Linked DNA regions of Lepisosteus oculatus. The protein of the gene in region 2 interacts with the protein of the main gene of each other region in a pairwise test. Links are inferred from orthologs where the notes say so. Each region holds a gene or a part of one and is shown on either strand. Other genes may lie near its edges.

Region 1 (8,034 bases), on a different chromosome or scaffold from region 2:
AATGAATTTGTAACCAATAAACCAATACATTTTTGTTGTTTTTGTCTGTTTTGTCATTTTGTGTGTTTCAACATAGTTTATTTGTTACCTCAAATGGATAGTCAAGTCCTTCTGGCTGGATTATGTAAATACCACTTGGAGTTTTGGAAATGGACTGTACTGTGTCTATAATATCACTGCAATCACGCCCTAGAAACAGTAATCAACATGAAAATATTAGCAGAATCAGACTGTAAATGACACAGAAAGATGTTTCCACCTGTGGGACAAAAAATATCAACCAATCATTTAACTTTGTTTTCCACTTTAATAACATTTAGATTTGCCTCTCATACCATATATTTATTATATTCACTATTTATTCTCTATTTAAGTTTATAATTTAATTAACAAAAACACTACACAAATTATCCCTTTAGGGATAATTTCTCATAAAAGATCGTTACAGTCATCTTCTTGAAATGTAGTATATACAGATAGATACAGTAAGTATATCATTTATACATACAGTATATACATTTATGGCTGGAGGCCCCACGTGAGTCTCTTGGGAAAGCCAGTTTACACAATAATAACATACACAGTTCCATAGCTCACAACAATTATATCAATATTCCAACACAAATACAAATACCTTCTGGTACCAGTTTAGGAGTCGTAGTTACACTCATAGTCAAGAGCTTTGGCAATGATTTGGCTTTATACATCAGTGACCAGTGTAGAAAAGACAAAAAAATAGGCTTTAACATGAGAGAGGTAAATGTATGACCTTACCATGTGATTGTACTGGCTTATGTGGAAATGGCTCAATGTTGTTCTTTAAGACTTCTGTACTGAGTGTCAGAACTTTGTTCATCAGTTCCCTTACCTGTGAAAATAAAAGCAAAGTTCAAGGTGTATATAAAACTGATTAATTTAATCTTTATTGCCCCTAAGGAAATTCCTCTCGGGCATATCAAGAACTCATAAACACTTTACATGTTTATAATGATTATACAATAACAACAACAGTACAATGCCATAATGCAAAACAACATTTAACAACATCGCTCAATCAGAACTCTTCTCCTACCATAAGATGAAAATAATAGGCAATTAACTTGTAGAGACTTGTTTTTTCCCCCCAAAAAAACAATAAATAAACATAATGAACATAAAACAAGAAGAAGATCCCTACCAGAAAACACTATTCCACAATTGAATAATGTTTTAGGTATAAAGGAATTAAATGCTCTCTTAGTCTTTAGGGAATCATGTTCCTCCTCCTCCTAGAGCTCTAAATACAAAAGGTAAGAATGCTCTGAATAAAAATGTCAACATTTTGCTTTCTGTTTAAAAATTAGTTTTCGTTTTAGAACTAGAAAAGCTCAAAAAACACTCTCATATGTCACTAGTACCTTCTGAAACGGCAAAAGTCATTACATTTCCACGAAAATAGTCCAACTGTGTTTGGATTCTTTTGAGGCTGTTATCCATTCCTAACTGCCACACATCTCATGCAAGAAAATGTACATTGCTATAGCTTGCCTGGCTTGAAAGAAACTCCAGTGATTTCTGGTGATCCTCCATCATGCCTCTAATCATTTTCCTTGTGCTCCTCGTGTAGGAAACAAGAGAATGGTGTAAGTTTCCTTAAAAAGATAGATAAAACTGCATTAATTTGTGGTATCAATTCAGGGTATACGGGTCGTGGATATAAGCCAAACCCATTCCGTGTACACTTTACTTTTAAAAACAGAAAGTCAAGTCCACAGTCCTCAGTGTACGTACTGCACATCAGGTGTTTCTCCTCCTTCATGAGCTTTGCTGACATTTCACATTGCGTAAGGCAGGTCTCATGCCTGTTTTCTCTTGATGGCTTGGAGAGTCTGGGTTTCATGTTTTCACCATGGTATTTTCCCTTCGCCGTTGTAGACTGATTTATAGCTGAACTGCTTTCACTGATTTCCTTTTAGCAGACAAAGAAAACATTTTCAATCATGCCAAACTGATCGGGATCACATAGGCTTATGTTAAGTCATCTGAACCAATGCGTTTTATAAAGTTCTATAGTTACCCGCTAATCTAAAATGTAAACAAGTGAACTCTTTTTCTTATGTTTTTGATTAGCTAAATCTTATGTACCTCCAAAAATAATGAACTGATGAAACACATTTTTCATTTTATTTCTTTTCATTTTGTTACTAAGACATTAATAAAATATCAGAAGGTAGACTATTTATTTTTTTAGCCAGTGCATAAGTGGATTTAATATTTTTTTCAGCTTTACTTAGTTCCTCATGTGAGCTGTATCTTTAAATATGTCTCTGGAAACACTGTTTTATATTTGTACTTTTTGCCTGCTGGCCAAGAATACGTTTTTGCCAGGACCCAGGCAGGAATGCATTTTCTTGTATCCCCTAGTTTGTGTTTATCTTTTTATTATAGAACTGAATATCTCATTCCTCAAATAGCAAACAAGGATAACTAATCTCTGTATGTCACCCACAACATCATACTGACATTTTTTTTTATTTTGTTTTAAAGAATATACCCCATAAACCACAAGACCTCAATACTTGAATGGGGAAAACCCATTAGCATGGCACATTGGAAGCAGAAACAATCAATTTCTTCTCAGGAGATTAGCTTCAGTATTTAGGTAGATTCTTAATGGTGACATTGCATTAGAATTTCCCAATGTGTTTTGCATATAAATGATCATAGTTAATACTGTGGCAAATTCTTCCTAATTTTAAATCTAACAGATCACAAATATCTAACAATTATAGATGCATTAGACTACAGACTGGGCTGACATACCAAGAACAACTGTTATGTTTCTCCTCTTTACTCCAGGAGAATTTGAAGTTTGTTAAGGTTGGAATTAATTATCAAATGTTGAACAGAGACATGCAAGCTGTTTCCTGTTTCTCTATGTACAAAAATCCAATGAAACTTCAAAGGTTGCTTTCTGTTAGGAGTGCATTTAATTAACGCTTAAATCATTAGAAGCAACCCTAAGTGTGAATGTGAATCTGTCCCTTCTATTCACTCATACTGTACGTCTTGAAGAATGAAAAAAAGTAAAAAGGGATTGAAAATATTTTACAGCACAGATGTCTCCTTAAACATGTACAGTGGATGCATATATGTATGTATGTAGCTCATCTATGTTACCAAACAGTTCCATGCATCTTGTGTTTTTTAAGAAATGCAAACTTTAAAACACACTTTAATACTGCACATACAACTCCGAAATTCAATTTAGAACTAAATTCAAGTGCTCTGGTTCAGTTTTTTTTTTTCCGTACAGGAAATAATAGCAATTTTAAGATATCTAACAAAAATACATACCACAGAGTTGGTCGATGTTGTCTGGATGTCATGGAGAACAGATACAAACAAAACTGGGAAGAAAAGCCTTTTCATTTTCCTTTAGGAAGACGTTTTCTAATGTGCTGGTCGGTTTACTGAGTCTCATGAGCCCTCGGTACCACAGCTTCAGGAACTCAAGACGCTCTGCTGGCATCTGCACAACAGCAAAGAGCCAAAACAAATGACTTTCTCTCAACTGCTGAAAGCGTTCAGGACAGGATATGATTTGGGACTGTGTCAAATCAATTTAAATATTGTGCACTGCTGTGTTCTTTTAGCACTGTTTAGTTTTGTATTGCACAGGCATATCACAAAGCGAAATGCTAGACAAAAATGTTGAGCACTGTTTCTTAATTCAGATTTACCAAGAAACAAACAATAACATTTCTGCAAAATGTAACTTTAACCCTTTAACAGCTTCTTTAGAAAGCAGCACAAGTTTGCTGTTATTTTCCTAAAAATAGAGTAAAAAATACAGTGTATATAAATTCCACAGTATTGAAGAAAGATTGCCTACAACTACTGGTATGTACAAGATGCTTATGGAATGTAATTCTGTGTCTGTAATGTGCATAGTATTTTGCAGTATGGTTCATCTGTTCACACTTGGAGCTCCACATAAATTCCTTGCCCTTCAGGTTTTATAGACAAAACCAGGGGGAGCACATTGTAAAGTGAGATTTTATGTACTCTGCATCTGCAAAGAATTACGTACAATATGCAACATACAGAAATATGTTTGCTAGACTAGTATGTTTATTGACTTAAGTTTTCATACAGTATTTACAAATCTGAAGTGTTAGCCTATTGGAAGACCACACACCCAACAGTGAATAACAGGTTTCACTGAGTAGTGGCAAACAGGCTCAGTGAAGCAAAAGGCATAATATTGTGCCTTGGAAGGGATTTTAGAATAATTTTGAAATCAGAAAAAGATCGTAATTATTGAAAAGACATGAAATATTAGCTGACATCAGAAATTCAGAACAGTAGCACACATTTGCCCAAATGCAAAACATAAATTGTTATTCTTTGGGAGGAGCTCTGAATTAAAATGTCAGTTAAATTATTTGATCAAGCAAGTCTATGCCTTAGTTTTTTTGTACCCTAACCCTAAAACACAAGAGTACGCTGATCATCATCAAGTGTGTAAAATCGACAAATTGTGTCCATGTTTATTGCAGTTATAATAAAGTAGTAGTAGGATAGGTAAACATAAATAATTATTTATAAGAATAAATAATTATTATAGGAATTATAATTGCGATAACAGCTATAATCTGCCGGACTTCTCCTGCCGTCCGTCGTTTCCTCCTTTTCTCGGCCCCACTCTCAACCTGCGCCTAGTTTCCGTTGTCAAGGAAGCGGCGTCTCTGGTTGTCAACATGGCGGGGCTAATTAATCTAGAGGTTCAGCAGAGCAAAACTTTTACTTAGCTGGAAAACCCAGTCAAATTGTCAACGCTGAATTCGGAAATAAGAAAAAAAATGAGAAGCAACAGAAGATCATAACGAGCGCTTGACTACAATGGCACATCGCGCCGCAGTTTCAACGTTTTCGTTCACACACAAACTGTGGGTTTATTTTGGCGTGAAGCGGAGGACAGCCGGCTAGCGCATTTCGGAATACAGGCTGGGGATAATCCGTTTCTTAAAATACGTGTACGATCGCTGAACTTGGTTTGAATGAAGATTGTGACCAGTTTGGAGAACTCTTCAACGTCGTCCCATCCTGGGATTCAGGATGCACGTCCAGAGGGCCAGCTCCTATTCGTATCCTTAAATCGATGTCTGTTTAGTTATAAGTCTATTTCTTTTGCTAGAAGCTACCTCAAGATCCTAGTTCTAGAAATGTTTTTTATGACGTTGTTGTTGTTGTTGTTGTTGTTGTTGTTGTTGTTGTTGTTAACCACCTTCAATTACTATTGGTGTAGGTACTGTATAGTCATTCATTAAAAGACCAAATATTTTCAGGCAGTGTGCTTCAAATTTGATAGACAGTCATCACAGAATATTCACTTACTGTATTACACTTTTTTTCCTCATTTTGGACTAGCTAGCTAATTTATTTGTATTTTTCCTTATGAGTATCTTCACCCGCTATTGATGCCAGTGTATATATGCGTGTGTGTATGAGTCTATGTGTATCTGTCAAAGTCATATCACTTTGCAATCTGATCTGAGTATTTTGGCCTTTGGCTGACAGAGATCATTTAGAGGTAAGAGGTATAGCAACTACAATTAAGTTACAAAACAAGGAAAAAATGTTTAGATATATATACCTGTATACAGTATTGCTGCTTTTCAAAGTGTCTTACATTTGTCTGCTCCGTTACCTCCTTTGCCATTATAGCGACCACCATACTGCACTGTAAAAAGGGAGTGGCATAATTTGTGTGACCGCTGCACTTGGCAATCATAGCACAACAAACAAGCAAGAAGAAAAGCCTTTCCCCAGCTTTGTGAATGGTTTTCAGTCACTTGATAGCATGGATGGATTCTTATCTTCAGTTTTTTCATAATTAATTTAATGTAATGACCTTACAATTTTCCTTTTTTCCCCCCCTAGTACTTAATTCAGATTGGAAACTTTCTGAAATTGCAGTAATCCAACAAATGTTTTAGAAACTAGGTATTGCAGACTATTGTTTTCCTTGTGGTAAATAAAGATGGACCACTGGTAGTGTACTATTAACACAAAAGCTTCCCTTTTCAGCTCATTAAAGGCTGGCTCTTTGTGGGTTTTTATTTTTAACTTTTATGCTAGACCCTTCTTTGACAGGCCTATATTTTAATGTGCATGTGCTTCTGGACTACTGCGCAACTGGTGAAGGCAAAATCTCCTTTTTACCCCCATGTCCTGAAATTCCTTAACGTTGTCTGACGTTAGAAATATAAAAACAGAGCTAGAACGGCCGTTGAAAGATGACCGTCAGGTTCTGGTTGAGGAACAGAAGGCATGCAGAGCTCGTGCTCGAAAATTCTCCTTGGAAACCAATCGACGTAGGAGGTATGTTTGGTACTGTATGTTGTTTTTTCTTGTATTTTAAGAGGTTAAATTCAGTTGCAGTATCCACAAAAATATATAATTTATACTCATACAGAAAAGAAATGCATCACTATGATCTACTGGATTAAATAAAATATATATCATAACAAGAACTCAAAAACTGTGCACTACATACAGAGCTGATCAATCATGAGACCATTTCACTATTAAACATACTGTCAAAATGAAGACATTACAAAGTTAGTATTGTATTTGACCTCCCTAAGCATTCAGACAATCTTGGCAGTGTTGACCTGAAAGTTGTGAATAGACTGTGCATGGGATGTTGCACCACATGCAGCCAGATGGTGAAGGTTGGCCAGTTGTGTTTTTTTCTATTGATGGTGTGGGTGAATAATTCCCACAAGTGTTCTGTGGGACTCAGATCAGGAGAAAAAGCTGGCTACTGTACACATTAACAAGTCCTTTCATGGACAGCGATGCCAACATCAGCCAGCAGTCCTCATTATTCAAACAAGACGCGGCTGTATCTTTCACCTTCTTTGCATTAATTGAAGCATTTTTGTTAATTACTTTCTGAAGGGCTATTGATACTTATTCTTAATCACTTTATTTTGGCAATTAATCCAATTCAGGTATCAAATACTGAGTACGTGGCATTTTTCCGAAGTCACATGACTGTTTTCATTGTTTTTCAGCATACAGCATGTAGAAAACTTTTTGTAAAGTTGTACTAAAAAACATCTGTTAACAGAAAAGAGGCAACTTGAACAGAAATTGACAATCACATTTAATGTGTTTGCAGGAAGCACTGGAATTGTTAGTTTTTTTATTATAGCACTAAAGATAAGCATTAATATCACATAAACATATAAGAAAAAAGTATGTTTTCGCACCAATCCCATAATGTTAAATTATGAGGCTGTACATTGCCACCAATCCAGCTGATGGTGTAGTTTTCCTATGCAGAACAGTTGTAGCAGTCAGTGAAAATGGTTTGAAGGAAAAAAGAGAGATCCTGTTATTCAATACTTCACTTGCCAGCAGGATTTCGTCTGCTGAAATTAGATTTCTTAATTGGTAACGGTAATGCAATTTATAAGAGGCAAGATTAGATTGGCTAGACTGAAGTGTTCTGCTTAAAATGAGTTCATCCCAAGGTAAAGCACAAATCTCAGACAATTAATAACCTACTAAATCTCAGCATCTTAGCAGCTCCTGGAAAGAGATTAAAATAAAAGGTTCAGTAGAAAAAAAAATGTTCTGTATGTAATGATAGTAGACTAAATACTACAAACTGATTACTTTCAGAAGACATGTATGAAGTATTTTTGTGCAGCTTCTAAGAATAGATTCAAATTGCTATCTTTGTCGTAGTTGCAGTTTAGTATTTACTTTCATTCTGTACTGAACTTGGACATCGCTTTAACCTCTTTGTCTTTGTTAGAATGCTGTCAGGTTAGAAATTTAAGTTTATTTGTAATTAGAAAAAAAACTATTATTTACATCAGCCTTGATACAGTATACTGCAAAGATCCTGTATTAATATACAGTAGGATCTCTGGTGTCATAGACACTTAACAGCTGGAGTTCATCTACTGAGTTGCATTTGTCACCAAAACAAATATGGTCTTTTATTTTTTAATCTCAATATTGTGTTGAAAGAAG
Region 2 (7,341 bases):
TGTATTTTTTTCCTTTCGCTCATTAAACAGACAGTTCATAATGTATTAGGCTGGTAGGAAACTAACAGCAGTAAAAACAATAACCTCTTCCATCGTTAGTAACACTAATATTGTTAAACTTGTAGTCCAGATTTCCATAATTTTCAAAAAAGAAAAAAAGGGAAGAGGAAAAAATGTAATCTGTTGAAGGAGGTAAAAAAATCACATGATAAAAATATGAGGAAAAAGCAACAAAGATCTAATTCACTTTTGCTCAGGTTACAGTTACTTGCAAATGTAAAGATAAAACGATATGCAAATTGTTTTCAAGACAACAATACAGGATTTTGGAAATCAGTTAGCAATCCAACCCAAATCAGTCAAAGCCTAAATGCAGGAAACAAAAAACACAATCAACCCTATTCATTTACTTCTGGTCTAGTTTCTAACAGTGGTTAAGACAAAAGATAGCAGCAAAAAAAGTGTCTACACAGACCAACCTGCTCCAGGCACTCAGTCTCACCCCTCTGTTGTGTGGTGAGATATCCACACAGAGTTTAACAGCAGCACCTCTCAGGCAGCCAGCAAATCAGGCGAAAGACAAAGTTGTAAGAGAATTAAATGTGCCATCTATCCAGAATCTACTTAAATAACTAATTTCTCTTTAATGGAGCAGTAATATTTAACACTGGAATTATATACTTTACTGTTAGCTTTCCTGTTTCAATTGTTTCTATTCTATTAAACATAAGATTTAGCTTAAGATTTATTTCAATAAAAAGTAATCATGAAATCTAAAATACACAAAAGATTTACTACCTTTGTTTTACTAAACCTCCAAATGAGACACATTACAACTGAGGGTTTAACATCAAACTAAAAAAAAACAGTCAATGCAAGCCAGTAACTACAACACTTAGTATAATAACTGAAGCCCTTATTGTTGATGTAAATGAAAACAATTTTAATCTGCATGGACTCACCTGCAGGGTACAGCGGGCTCTAGCTCAATTTATTCCATGTCACAGAGTATATTGTTTTCATAAAATGCATACTAATTTCCTTGTTGAGGGGTGTAAAAGTGCGTAGTTTGTTTCAATTTCTATATATCTTTTGTTTTCTTGTGAAAACACCATGCAAATCATTTCAGCATCTGAGTTCTGAATATTTTGGAAGCGGATCAGAAACAGACTGCAGAGAAGCACCTGGATGTACTAGGTCATCTCATCTTGTTGGCTGAAATGGTCACTATTGCAAAGACAAAGCGCTGTGAGCACACCCTTCTCCTGGGCGTCTTTCCAGAGGCTACGTGAGGCAAAGGCGTACAGGAACGGGTTGAGGCAGCTGTTGAGGAACGTCAGAGATCCTGCTACATCGTTGCCTGCCTCCCACACACTCTCCAGCTTTGCAGATGCGTCCATATTGGAAGTCTTCAGGAGGATGGCGCAGACTTTGAGCACATTGAAAACGTGGCAGGGGAGCCAAAAGACAAAGAAGGCCACCACGATCCGAGTGGCCACCTTCTCCAGCCTCGTGCTGCTGGCGAAGGTAGTTTGTTTCACCCTCCTGGTGAGGCAGATGTAAGAGGTGGTCAGGATGGAATAAGGGATGACGAACCCCAGGAGTGTCTCCAGCAACAGGAGCACCACTCTCTCGCTGTCTGAGCTGTATGTCCTGGACAAACACATCTTCTGCAAGTCGCTGTCCTCCACCATGTCCCGGACTTTGATCATGGGGCTGGCGAAGAGGCTGGCGAGGGCCCAGATCCCCAGGAGCACAGCGTTCTCCCCCCTGTGGCGCAGCCTCAGCTTGGCCTGAGGGTAGAGAACCATGATGAATCGCTGCACACTCATCAGGGTGACGCTGAGCACGCTGGCGTACATGCTGCAGTAGATGATATAGGACAGGAACTTGCATGGGCCGCTTCCAAACACCCAGGTGGCCAGCAAGGCGTAGATCCAGAAGGGCAGGGTGATGAGTGTGAGGAGGTCGGTGATGGCCAGGTTCAGCATGAGCTTCACGGTGAAGGTGACTCTCCTCAGCTTGGTGAGCAAAGCCCAGATCACCACAGCATTGCCGGGGACCCCCACCAGCACGCAGAGCCCCAGGACAACACTGGGGGCCACAGCTCCCTGGGTGTGATTAGAGGCTGTGCTGTTGGACTGCTGCATTGTGAGAAGACCAGAGTGCTGAGAGACACTGACAGTCAGCTGGCTGAGGAAGTTGGCAAAAACCTCTATGCAATGAGGAGCCGGAACAGCTCAGACAGATAAACATGGTAACTTTACATTTTTGAAAATAAACTGAAATTTCATTTCACATTTTTAAGCTAACTAATTTTTCTATTCCAAAGCAGAGACCAGGAAGAGTCAATAATTATTTTTTAATATTATTTTTTATGCCCAGAATCTGAAAAGGGAAGTATATCTTTGCTTCTGAAATTGCCACATATAGTCAAGCCTTATTGCACACACTGAGAGATTAGCAGTGACAATATAAAATAGTTCATATAACAGACATAGAATCTGGCCTGGGGCACCTTCTGCGTGGTGTTCACAATGGTTTCCTGCCCCTTATACATGTTGGAGTGCCCTGTGATGGATTGGCAACCTCTGTCCAAGGTATTTTCTGCCTTGTGTCCATTGTCTGCCAGGTTACAGTACTCGACTGAATAGTCCTTGAAAATTAATGGATGAAAATGGACATATATAAGTCTGGGATTTAACATTAATGAGCTTCTCACCATTTCATAGCACTAAACAAACAGAACCAACTAAACAGACTTCAATTCCTACTTCACTTTGCATAATATCACTTCCAACAGCCATGTTTCACCCTTCATAAGAATCACCAGCATGACATGCAGAAGCTGTCTCTGGCCAGTGAAATGTGTGTGTACGTCTCACATTTCAGTACAGTACAGTATGTTACAGGAATCAACATTTTTGTTCTTTTTAAAATGTTTCATTTAATTTGAAAGATAATATCGTATGCATGTAATTATTTAACAGTGCCCATTAAAAGAAAGGCATAATTTTCAGCCAGCGACATTTGGGTTGTGACAGCACTTGTAACTCAGGCACCAGATTTCCTCTGGTGGAAACAGGGGGAATGCTTATTTTGACAAATTAATTCACTTACAGTCTGTGTTCACTTGGTTACTGTTCACTAGAAACCTTAAGTGGTGGATGAATAGCGGTCTGGATAACATACAGCCAGCAGTCATATCACCCTGCAACTCATCACTGACAGGCCATTGAAACTAAGCAAGTATGAGCCTGAGGTATGAGGTGTTAGTAAGGCCAGTAGGTGGTCACCCTGCAGTCTTTCTTGTAAAAAAAAGGGTCCGTCCTTTGGATGAGACGTAAAACCAAGGTCATAACTCTCTGTATTTATTAAAAATCCCAGTGTGTTTCTTGAAAAGAGTAGGGGTGTTAACCAAACGTCCTGGACAAATTTCCCATAACAATCATGGCCTCCTAATAATCCCCGTCTCTGAACTGGCTTCATTACTCTGCTCTCCTCCTCACTGATAGCTGATGTGTGGTGAGCGTTCTGGCGCACTATGGCTGCTGTCATCATCCAGGTGGGGCTGCATACTGGCAGTGGTGGAAGGGATCCCCATTACCTGTGTAGTACTTTGAGTTGAGTGTGTAGAAAAGCTCTAAATATGTGTAAGGAATTATAATTATTATGTTATTTAAATCACTGATCAGAACTTGGGCAAAGAACCATCAGCTCTCTGCAGCATCTTCTTGCCCTAATAACACCCCATTGAGGGTTGCCACATTAAACACTAAACAAATACCGTGCCCATATCCCAGAGTAACACATTCAAGGTGCCATTTACAGTCAATCACGTCAAGATAAAGCTATCTACCAAAAAGCATGTTCAATAAAAATGTCATTTAAATTAACCACTACTGTCCCATTAGAACCCACTGCTGCTACTTAACAGAGGTAAATCTTCTCAAAGATGCTTTCATTAGAAAATACAAATAATCCTGTCTGGTTTTACAAATTCAACTTCAACAAACGAACAGCGGTATTCTTATTAGAACGCACATCACATTCATTACTGCACGTTTCTGTTTTGATTTCAATTATCATACAATGGTAGCCATACAGCGACGTCTTCTGTCGCAAAGCCGGAGTCTGTCGTAAAACGGAAACGGGCCTCTTTGTTGTCCCGGATGTAGTTGTTTGTGGATAGTGGAGGGAGTGTGTGTGATTGTGGCCGGAATTTATTTGTTCGGTGCAATTCTGTTTTCTTTTGTTTTACATTTACAGAGTTCTTTAGAGAAAGGGTCCTTAGTCTTTATTTTTTCGCGGTGTTTTTTTTTACCACCGTTTTGCTTTTTGTGGGAATTAACAGGCTTTAGGAGAATCATGTCGGTCGTGCCTCCCAACCGATCACAGACCGGCTGGCCCCGCGGAGTCACTCAGTTCGGAAACAAATACATCCCGCAGCCGACCAAGCCGCTCACCCTGGAGCGCACCATCAACCTGTGAGCCTTGTTTCTACTTCCTTATCGTTGTTTGTCGCGGATCTTGCACAGCATTGCTGAACGAAAAATCTTATAGTATTTAATTTGTCTCTTTTTTTTTTGGCTATGCTGTTTTCTGTAAAGATCTCGACTTAAGTTTGTAATTGAACTTGCTTTCTGTCTGAACGATGGCGTAGAAACTCAGTATTGAGATGAAACGACTTTGCGTGGCCAGGCTAAATGATGGATGAGCCAGCTGGTGTCTTTTGAAAATGTTCCCCTTTACTGTGGTAAATGACGAAAAAGACTTAAGACTTAAGGCTGCAGGACGAGGAAATTAGTTCTCAAGCTGTAGGAGTCTTGTGCGTTAAAGGGCGGCCAGTTTAATGCCAGTCAACAAAGAAAATTTGCCAGTATGATGTTACAGTTCACCCATTTTCTCACTCTTTATCCAGTATAGGGTCACAGGGAACACTTGTGCTGAAAATGTCGTGCAGCACCAGTACACTACCAGGCTGAAGCCTTGGATGGGGCTCCCTCTCTGGGCTCCTGCAGCGGGTGTTGTCACCGAGCTGATTCGCTGAGTCTCTCTGTTGCAGGTACCCGCTGACCAACTACACCTTTGGCACGAAGGAGCCCCTGTACGAGAAGGACAGCTCGGTGGCGGCGCGGTTCCAGCGGATGCGAGAGGAGTTTGAGAAGATCGGGATGCGGCGGACGGTGGAGGGGGTTCTGATCGTGCACGAGCACAGGCTGCCGCATGTGCTGCTGCTGCAGCTGGGCACCACCTTCTTCAAGCTGTGAGTATCCAGCAGGGCTGGGGTGGCGTGTGTGACCTCCTGGCTATGAGGCTTGAGAGTAGGAACGCTGAACGACGACCTCCAGGAGAGGAAGCCATGGTTATCTAGGTGGCTAGTTAACTCAGGACAAGGCATTCTGGGTGAAGTGAAGAATTAAGACTGCTCTAAGGTGCTGACAGAATTAAGCCCAAGGGATCACTGACAGCTTAATGAGAGGAAAACCAGGGTCAGGTGGGATGAAGGAGGAGACAAGTGCAGGAGCTGGTAGTTGGAGTAAGCTAGGTGGTTCAGGCCGGCTCCTCGTGTGCACTCCAGGACCATCTGATCAGCAGCCACACAAGCAAGCAGGACCACATGACCCCTTGTTTGTAACCTTTCTTGAGTCCTGATGTCTTTATCTTGGCTTGTGTTCAAATGGAATTTTCTGCTTCTCTCAACTGACTCCTGCTTGCAGTTCTTATGTCTGAAATGGCTGCAGGTGTGTGTTGTTTTTACTGCGGCTCATTGAGTTGTTTTGTCTTTCAGACCAGGTGGAGAATTAAACCCAGGGGAAGATGAAGTGGAAGGACTCAAGCGCCTTATGACAGAGGTATTGATTTAGTAAAGAATTTCTTGTCTATCAAAAATGTATCTCTTTACACAGGTTTCTTTCTGTTTGATTGGTATTCTCATAGTACACTATTTTGCTTGATGTTTAAAATCCATTATCTGTGGTAGTTCATTTAGGTTAGCTTCTGAGGCTGTGATAGCTAAGCACTGATTTATAAGCAGGTTGTGTTTTCTTTTGTGACATCCATGTTCTGTCTGCTGTGTAGCACTACACACACTGAGTCTTCTCACAGTGTAAATGGAGAAATCCATTCTTTCTTTTCAGTTTTTTATGATGTGTGAGTGTTTACTGTGTTTTTTCATCAGTTTCATTAAAAGACTTGTGCTGCTGCTTTTTGGCCGACATGCAATTAGTTTTTAAAAGTTTTTTAATCACCAGATTCTGGGACGTCAGGACGGAGTCCAGCAGGACTGGGTGATTGATGACTGCATAGGCAATTGGTGGCGACCCAACTTTGAGCCTCCACAGGTTAGTCCTTCAGTTTAAGTGCCTACACACATGCACACAAAGTACAGCTGAGAACATAGGGAAGGTTACAAGATAAGATCACTTTATTGGCCATATACAATTTCTTGTATTAGGAATTTGACTTTTTGTATACCTCAACTTGCTCTCCATAAGACACACAGACAGGGAGAGAAGCTTGGGGTCAGAGCACAGCGTCAGCCATTTATACGCCACCCCTGTAGCAGTTGGGGTTAAGGGCCTTGCTCAGGGGCCTAACGGCATAGGATTCCTCTGGCAGCTGCGGGATACGAACCGGCAACCGTCCAGCCACAGGCGCAGATCCTGAGCCACAAAGCCACCGCATGGCCCCTACAAGTGAGAGGACCCCTGTTTGGCCCTACAAACTCGTTTGGTTGTTTGTAGATAATTGATCTGAAGAACTCATCCAGTCATTTCTCGAAAGAAACCAGCGTGTCAGCTTCAGTAGCATGGCTGAGTAGCTTATTTCTACTTCCAGCTATACAAGAATACTGTGAATACTGGAAGGATTAAGAAAACAAAAAGTGATCTACTTTCCATGTAACGTTTTACTACGGTCTCTTATTTAGTTTTTTTTCTGGCTTGTGTGAGGATTATTACTATCCATATTCAATCACAGACTGCTGGAAGCACAGATGTTTTATAAGTGTTGTACAGCACTGTGTATGTATATGTTGTGTGCTGACTCCCCTGAGTTGCTGTAACTCTTGTACCAGCTTCTCTTCCCACACTAAGGTAGTCTGTTCACATTCTCTTTTCGGTTTTGCTTTGCAGTATCCATATATTCCAGCTCACATCACCAAACCCAAGGAGCACAAGAAGCTGTTCCTTGTGCAGCTGCAAGAAAAGGGTAAGAGATTTGTTCTTCTGCTGCCTGACCTGAGGATGTTGGCTACAGAGCTGAGATTCTCAGATTCAATTCAATTTATTTTTATATAGCGCTATTCACAACAAGGTTGCCCCAGTGCGCTTAACAAAG
Region 3 (7,701 bases), on a different chromosome or scaffold from region 2:
CTCGCCCCGGGCTCCCCTCACCCCACCCCACCCCTCCCGGTATTATTCCTACTTTAATATTTCAGCGGCGCTTGGCAGACGCCCCAGGGCGCACAGTGCTGTTAGGGCGCAGCGAGGCGTGCCCACAGAACAGTGCCGTCACGCACGCTATTGTCACAATCCCTGGATGCCACTTCGACACTGCAACACTGCTCCTGCAAAAAGCATCTGGAAATACCAGCCTTGAATCTTTTTGATCTGTTGTTCCATTCGCATTAGCATTACAGACTGAATACCTATTGCAGCAAAAAAACAAACCTCTAAGGACAATGAAAGGTGACATCTACTGTACTTTTAATCCTTTATTTCTGGAGTTCCCAACTCAAAAGCTAAAAGCTAAAAGCTTCAGCCTTTGAGAACAGTTAAAAACACACTAATTAAAAGGGGACCTCTGACATGTTCAGGGACTGAAACCAATTAAAGGGGCTAAAGTGAATGCAGATAGGAGGTCAGTCTCTGGTTCAACTGTATAATGGATCAGATGGCAAGATGGAAATTAGACACGAGGGTTCAAAGGACCAAGGCAGGGAACTCGACTTTAAGCCGCCTGGTATTGTAATTCTTACAGTCAATGGCATACAAATTGAGACTACATCTGTATACTATAAGGCAGCAATCCAAGAGATGGGCCAAACCCAGGATATGAACCTACAGCCTTCCACTTGGGCGTTCAGAGCCCCTGACCTCCGCTCCAACATCTCAAAAAGAGCGAAAGACAGAACTAGAGGACATACTGGGTCACAGGCCTTCCCGGTTTGTACTCCACTCCATTACACCAGAAAGGGCACAAGGCTGGTGGAGAAGAAGAAGCCTCTCGAGTTTTCGTTTTAAATCTTGTGCAAAAGCTCCCGTCGACTGGGAATTTATGATAAAGAGATGAAGGAGGGAGGGAGGGGTTAAAAAAACCCAAACAAACGCTGAAATACAAAAACGGGATCATCAGGCGAGGACCGTCTCCGCAAGGGAGAGGGTCGGGAAATGCTAAAACGCCAATTAAGGAATATCCCGGGGAACGCGCAAGGGACTGTTTGGGATTTGGGAGGGAGAGAGTCTGGAAAGACGCTGCGGAATTTCCTGACGTTGCCGCGTAATGGTGTTCGTTTTTCCTGCCGGCAGGAATGCGGGCTCTTCCCGGGAGCAGCCAGGACTCTCTTCACCATATAAGGCGCGGAGAGACGGAGGGAGGCAGGCAAGGGTGTTATCAGTCACCATCGCGGCTTCAGCACACCAGAGAGGAAACCGGCCGAAAGCCGTCCAGGAAACCAAAAAAGGAGATGGCCGTTTAGACCACCACCCCTCAACACACACACACCAAAAACCAGATACTAGCCTAGAAAAAAAGCAGCTTTCAGGCAGAAGGACTCCCCATCAACTTTAATCTCCGACCCGAGTAAGAAATTCACATTTCACCGGATACTCGAAACACTTTCTTAACCATTTCCTGTTCTGTCTTTCTTGTCGACGGCGAAACACGCTAACGGGACTTCGGAAGAAAAGAGAACGACAAAGGGGCATAAAAGCGCTCAAACAATCGTTTTCGGAGCTTTAACCCGAGTTTCAAGTGCAATACAAGTCCCATGACACGCTTTTCACACAGCATTTTACAGCTCTGTACTACAACAACTTTACCGTTGCCAAGTACTTCCGGTTTAACTCTTCGGGTCTCTCTCCCGATTTTTCTGACAAGATGCTGGGGGGGAATTACAGACCGACAAAACTGACAAGCTTATTTCAGAAACGAGCGCCATCTGTATATTTCAACGCCCTGCTCGGGATAGTAACAGATTAGTCCATATCCGGCGCATTTCCTCCCCAAGAGTAATCCACCGAAGGGAGGGATTGATAGACGGCCATTTCCTCACACTGCTGCAGAGTCGATCATTACACATGCGGGCTAGCAGTTCACCTCTATAAGGACATCTCAAGTCAGTATTTACACATCTGACATTCACAGCCTCCTGGCCTCAGTCTGACACCGTGCCTTTCCATTGAAAGGTGGGACATTGCGCACACTCACACCCAAGCCTGGTAGTCGCCAGTGCGGAATAGTAGCAGGAGTCACAACACGTTAATCGTTTCGCGCATGCAAAACCCAGGAAAAAGAATTTCACAGTCGCCCTATTGTTAGTTAACACTTCAACCCCATCAAACGTCACGCCAGGGTTTAATTCAGCAAAGCCACACACACCAGACCCGACTTCTGCGCTTCCTGTGCAGTGAGAGCACTCCTGCATGATTAAAGGCGACGTTCCCGTGTCAGGCATGAACACATTCGCCGGCCTGTACTTATCTCTAACCTCAGTCTGATCACAACGCACGGCAATGCATTGACAACTTACCGTAGATCTGTGCTGGTTTAAACTCAATCTGCAAGTTGTTTTTTTTTTTTTAAAAAAGAAGAGAGAGAGAGAAGGAAAGGTGAAAAGAGGAAGATGTGATAGGACTCAACAGACAGATGAAGCAGTAAGCCGGTGTCCAGAAGCTGAAGATGAGACAAGAGAACCGTCTCTCCTGACGGAAAAAAAATAACTTTCAGATCCACAAAACCCCGAAGCTCTTTCGACAAGAAACATGTAAAAGGTAAAAGACTTACCAAGAATCTGGTCTTCTGAGAAGTCAGACTGTTTTATTAAAACAAAAACGGAGAGAAAACAGGGACACAAATCAAACACTAATACCAAATGATAGAAGCATTCGCAACACCTCCATTGCGGATACAAGGCTAATTTCAGGCTAATTGCGGATATAGGACTCCTGGTCACTGATAACAGAGGGAGGGTGTGGGGTTGGGGGTGTTATTAAGCTGTATAAAACAACTTCACACCCCCGGATACCTCACCTATCTACCTCAAACGCAACCGGACGAACTTACGAGATGTATCCGGGACAGGTCCGCCTCATCCCGCTTCAAATCATATTCAATCCCCAGGCTCGGCGAGACGAGCGGTATTTCATTAATCGTGCCCCAGACAAGGGTAGCCAACAGCGAGCATTCTTGAAAAAAGGCCCTCCCACAGCCAGCTTGGGCTACACTGTCACTTCAGCACCCTTCAACGCAAAACTAGAAGAGCCTATGCTTCTGCTTAACCCTGCATCCCTGCATCCCGATATACCCCTGTTATATCCTGATCCGCCTGTGTAAGACACAATAAGAAAACACCCACCATTTTCGCTGCCCGGGCTGCTGGAGTTCAGAGTCTGTCGGTCGACGGCAGGAATGTGGGCCGGTCCAGGGCGGCGGGCCTGTAATACCTACTCCTTGCGTCACTGTTTACTGAAGCCCAGCGCCGCCAACCAATCGCAGCCCGGCTCAGCGGGCGTTGGCTTCATTGGGTTTACCGTAGTACCCCATAGTGAGGCGCACACATAATTATAACGGGGAGGGGACGAAGATTCACGAGGAGACGCTGTAGTTTGTAAACTTCAGCAGCCGCTGTCAAAATATTTCTGCGGCTTACAAAGCGGTCGTACAACGTATCTAAAATTAAAATGCATATAACCATATATGAATATCGGCCTTTATTATCCTCAATGATCATTTCTCAAAATCAGTTTAGAATTTCGTTGCACCCATGGATTCATATTTACGGTACGGAGAGAGGTCGGAGGCTGATGAATGACCTCTGCTGACTGAACCGAAGGGGTCCCCTAGTGTATACAAGCTGCAACTACACGACAATAAAGGAAGAATTTTTAAAAAGAAGAATTCCTTATATATATATTGAAGTAGATCAGGTGGGTAGCTGCGTCAGCATGCGTAGGCTGCAAATGAACAAGTAATAGGTTTATTCCACGCTGAAAAGAGAATAAAGAAAACACAACCTGAAGAAGGCTCCACAGCCGAAATGTTGTGTTTTCTTTCTTCTCTTTTCATCATGGAATAAACCTATGACTTTTTCCCATATATATTACACGTATTTTCTGGACACTCCACTCAAAGCACTGTACAGGTAATGGGGATCCCCTCCACCACCACCAATTTATATGGCTGCTGGTGATATAGCCAGCAGCCATATCACCCTGCAACTCACAACTGGCAGCCCACTGAAGCTCAACGGGTGTGAGCCTGGTCAGTACCTGGATGGGAGACCTCCTGGGAAAAACTAAGGTTGCTGCTGGAAGAGGTGTTAGTGGGGCCAGCAGGGGGCGCTCACCCTGTGGTCCACGTGGGTCCTAATGCCCCAGTATAGTGACGGGGACACTATACTGTAAACAGGTGCCGTCCTTCGGATGAGACGTAAAACCGAGGTCCTGACTCTCTGTGGTCATTAAAAATCCCAGGGTGTTTCTCGAAAAGAGTAGGGGTGTAACCCCGGCATCCTGGCCAAATTTCCCATTGGCCTTAACCAATCATGGCCTCCTAATAATCCCCATCTATGAATTGGCTTCATTACTCTCTGCTCTCCTCCCCACTAATAGCTGATGTGTGGTGAGCGTTCTGGCGCACTATGGCTGCCGTCGCATCATCCAGGTGGGTGCTGCACACTGGTGGTGGTGGAGGGGAGTCCCCATTACCTGTAAAGCGGAGTGGAGTGGAGTGTCCAGAAAAGCGCTATATAAGTGTAAGCAATTATTATTATTATTATTACAGTGCTTTGAGTGGAGTGTCCAGAAAAGTGCTATATAAGTGTAAGCAATTATTACTTAGAAATTATTCACGTGCAGCACCCCCTGGAGGATGCACCAGTCTGCTCGCCACATACCAGCTATCAGTGGGGAAGAGAGCAGAGTGATGAAGCCAGTTCACAGATGGGGATTATTAAGAGGTCATGATTGGTAAGGGCCAATGGGAAATTTGCCCAGGACGGGGGATAACACCCCCTACTACGTTCTAGAAACGCCCTGGGATTTTTAATGACCACAGAGAGTCAGGACCTCGGTTTTACATCTCTTTTGAAGGACGGTGCCTTTTTACAGTATAGTGTCCCCCATCACTATACTGGGGCATTAGGACCCACATGGACCCCAGGGTGAGCGCCCCCTGCTGGCCCCACTAACACCTCTTCCAGCAGCAACCTTAGTTTTTCCCAGGAGGTCTCTCATTCAGGTACTGACCTGACTCAGACCTGCAGAGCTGCACTGGTTGGTTTCGCTTTGTTTTTAAGTACTATTTTAACTATTTTTACATATATTTTAAATCATTCTCTTTTTAACAATAGCCTGGTTAGCACCAAGTATTGCAGAAACTACAATAAATGGGATTGGAAGAGCCATAGTTTCAGTGTTTCATTGAAAGGGCTGGAGGGCGGAGTGGTGGCACTGTAGCTAAGGATCTGCACCTATGGTTCAAATCCTGCGGCTGGCAGAGGAATCCTACTCTGTTGGGCTCCAGAGCAAGGCCCTTAACCCCAGCTGCTCCAGGGGTGCTGTATAAATGACTGACCCCCAGCTTCTCTCCCTGTCTGTGTGTCTCATGGAGAGCAAGCTGGGGTGTGTGAAAAGACAAATTCCTAAAGCAAGAAATTGTATAGGGCCAATAAAGTGATCTTATCTTATCTAAATATAGGTACAAGTTTCATCCATCTGTATCCGTTGGGAAAAAAGGATCTCAAACGTTTTTAATTAGCGCTGAATATTAATTCAAAAGCAATCAACTTTCTTTTCTGAGAATTAATTGAATGCCACTGCGATCAGACCGTCCCTGATGCCCCGTGCCGAATCAGAACGCGCAGGACCTGCCAGCCACCCTCCGGGCCTGGAGCTGGGGAGGACTGGCAGGGAAACGGAGACAGCCCGACGCACGCAGACAGAGATGCGGCAGACGCACTGCAGGACGGACACGCAGGAGTCACGCACACAGGCACAGAGAGCCCCGCGGGCCAAGCGTCAGCGCCTGCCTGCCCGCGGCTGGTTGTCCTCCCAGCAGCCGTGTGAAGGCGATGTGAAGCCATACCCCCAGCGAGAGATGGCCGCAGCCGCGACAATGGCGTGACGGTGGCAATGGTACTGGGGGTGGTGTGGGGCTTGGGGGGGGGGCCCAGGCTGGCAGGGATGCAGCCCTGAGCCCCAGTGCCCCGGTGCCCCAGTGCCAGGGCTACTGCTCGGTGAGGGGAGCGGGACGGGGCAGAGGGGCGTGCCCCACGACAGAACCATTGAGAGACCCTACCCGGAACCACAGCCCCCGTCCGATTGGACACGCTAGCCTCGGTCACCTCACTCATCACCCGGGTCCCCGGGCAGCGCTGGGTGGTGGTTCGGACTGGCAGGGAGCTCCCGCATGGCTCACCTGCTCTCTCCTCGGCCAGGTTGCCAAAGGCCCTCGTGCGAGCTGAAATGGCGGACGTCCAGCCCAGGGAGCCAGCAGTCGCCTGGTGATGTCATAGTCTACCCTCTAGTCTAAGGGTCTTTGTATGATGACATCATTCTGTGATCAGGGAGCTGAGCGCAGTACTGGCTGGACGGTTCCGTGCAGACAGAGCAGCGCACAATGCACAGTACAGACTGACAGTGCAGTGTAGCCAGTCTGTTCATAAGAAAAGGAATGTAAGTTTTTGAGTAAGTGTACAAAACAGCATTTGTTTCGGGACCAGGAGAAATGTAGCCACAGTGCAGCAGACCTGCTGGTTCAGACCTGATGTCGTGATGTTGTGATGATGTCATGATGTAGTCAGAATAGAAAGGCTCATCCACAGTTACCATTTCACCAGAAGGAAAGTACAGAAAATCATACAAGAGGCACAATTCTGCAACTAGGCCCATTCACCCTTTACCCCATGCAGCTGGGGTGCTATCTATGTGGAGTTTGCATGTTCTCCCTGTGTAAATTGCAGAGCAAAGAAAATAGGAAAGTCTGCTGATGACCCCTCCCACCCAGGTTACTGTTTCATAAATGTCCCTCAGGAAGACGTTACATCTACTGAAACCAGAACCAAACAGCATCTTTCCAAGGGCTGTCTTTATGCTTATTCAGAACCCTAGTTCTATGTGCAGTGTCCTAACGCTGTCTATTGTCTTCTTTGTGTATGGCTTATGTAGAATGTCTTTGCAGCACCGGAGTAAATTCCTTGTACATGAATTGTGCTGGGTGAATAAAGGTGGCTCGGATTCGGATGTTCATGTGGAGCGTATGTGTGTATCCTGCCTCGTGCCTGTCGCTCGCTGGGATAGGCTCCAGCTCCCCTCCTCAGACCCTGAACTGGAAGAAGCAGGTAGAATATGGATGGATGGATGAAGAAGCTGTCAGAATACCCCGTGCCCTAGACTAGCGGTGCCCAGCCCTGGTCCTGGCGCCCCACACACCTGCTGGCTCTCAGGAGATCACTGAGCCTCGCTTCATCTGAGGAGCTGCTTCGCTGGAACATTTGCCTTTTGTTTCGACTCACAAGCTTGGGATCTTATTTCACTTACAAAATACAAAGGGTTCGAGCTGAAACATGTTTAAGAGCCGAGAACAAACAGCTCCCGTGACTCCTGTCATCATTATCAAGTCAGTGAAGGGCTTGATTGTGTAACTGAGGGCTCGGCAGTCAGAAAAACCAGCAGGGGTGTGGGCCACCAGTATCAGGACTGGAAACCCCTGCCATAGGCTAAGCCATACCACCTCCATTCAGCATGTTTCAATCCTTACTGAGATCAGAGAGCCTAAATCCTCCCTCTTCACCCACCAGCTCCAGCTGCAGCCCGAGAGACAGCTCACTGACTGACTGTACACTGGAGGAAGTG

The links. The genes of interacting proteins can lie anywhere in the genome.
Region 1: the proteins of nudt21 (region 2) and cep126 interact in a two-hybrid assay, tested with the Homo sapiens proteins (2 studies listed by BioGRID and IntAct). The link is inferred for Lepisosteus oculatus from reciprocal best matches to the Homo sapiens genes NUDT21 and CEP126.
Region 3: the proteins of nudt21 (region 2) and myosin light polypeptide 6 interact in binary tests that used the Homo sapiens proteins (3 or more experiments, as listed by UniProt). The two-hybrid records come from large-scale screens. The link is inferred for Lepisosteus oculatus from reciprocal best matches to the Homo sapiens genes NUDT21 and MYL6.

Annotation. Positions count from the first base shown.
Region 1 is NC_090700.1:8,341,336-8,349,369, forward strand, and holds the start of cep126 (centrosomal protein of 126 kDa), read left to right. Parts: upstream 1-4,749; 5' UTR 4,750-5,100; coding exon 5,101-5,129; exon of another isoform or gene 5,130-5,133; intron 5,134-6,246; coding exon 6,247-6,366; intron 6,367-8,034. Other genes in the region: angptl5 (angiopoietin-related protein 5), read right to left, coding at 89-189, 775-868, 1,528-1,631, 1,771-1,948, 3,337-3,411. UniProt on the Homo sapiens protein: Participates in cytokinesis. Necessary for microtubules and mitotic spindle organization. Involved in primary cilium formation.
Region 2 is NC_090715.1:903,553-910,893, forward strand, and holds the start of nudt21 (cleavage and polyadenylation specificity factor subunit 5), read left to right. Parts: upstream 1-4,154; 5' UTR 4,155-4,368; coding exon 4,369-4,487; intron 4,488-5,065; coding exon 5,066-5,266; intron 5,267-5,791; coding exon 5,792-5,855; intron 5,856-6,239; coding exon 6,240-6,344; intron 6,345-7,136; coding exon 7,137-7,212; intron 7,213-7,341. Other genes in the region: gpr190b (leukotriene B4 receptor 1), read right to left, coding at 1,194-2,150. UniProt on the Homo sapiens protein: Component of the cleavage factor Im (CFIm) complex that functions as an activator of the pre-mRNA 3'-end cleavage and polyadenylation processing required for the maturation of pre-mRNA into functional mRNAs.
Region 3 is NC_090696.1:19,647,087-19,654,787, reverse strand, and holds the start of myosin light polypeptide 6, read right to left. Parts: upstream 3,286-7,701; 5' UTR 3,207-3,285; coding exon 3,204-3,206; intron 2,661-3,203; coding exon 2,633-2,660; intron 2,407-2,632; exon of another isoform or gene 2,379-2,406; intron 1-2,378. UniProt on the Homo sapiens protein: Regulatory light chain of myosin. Does not bind calcium.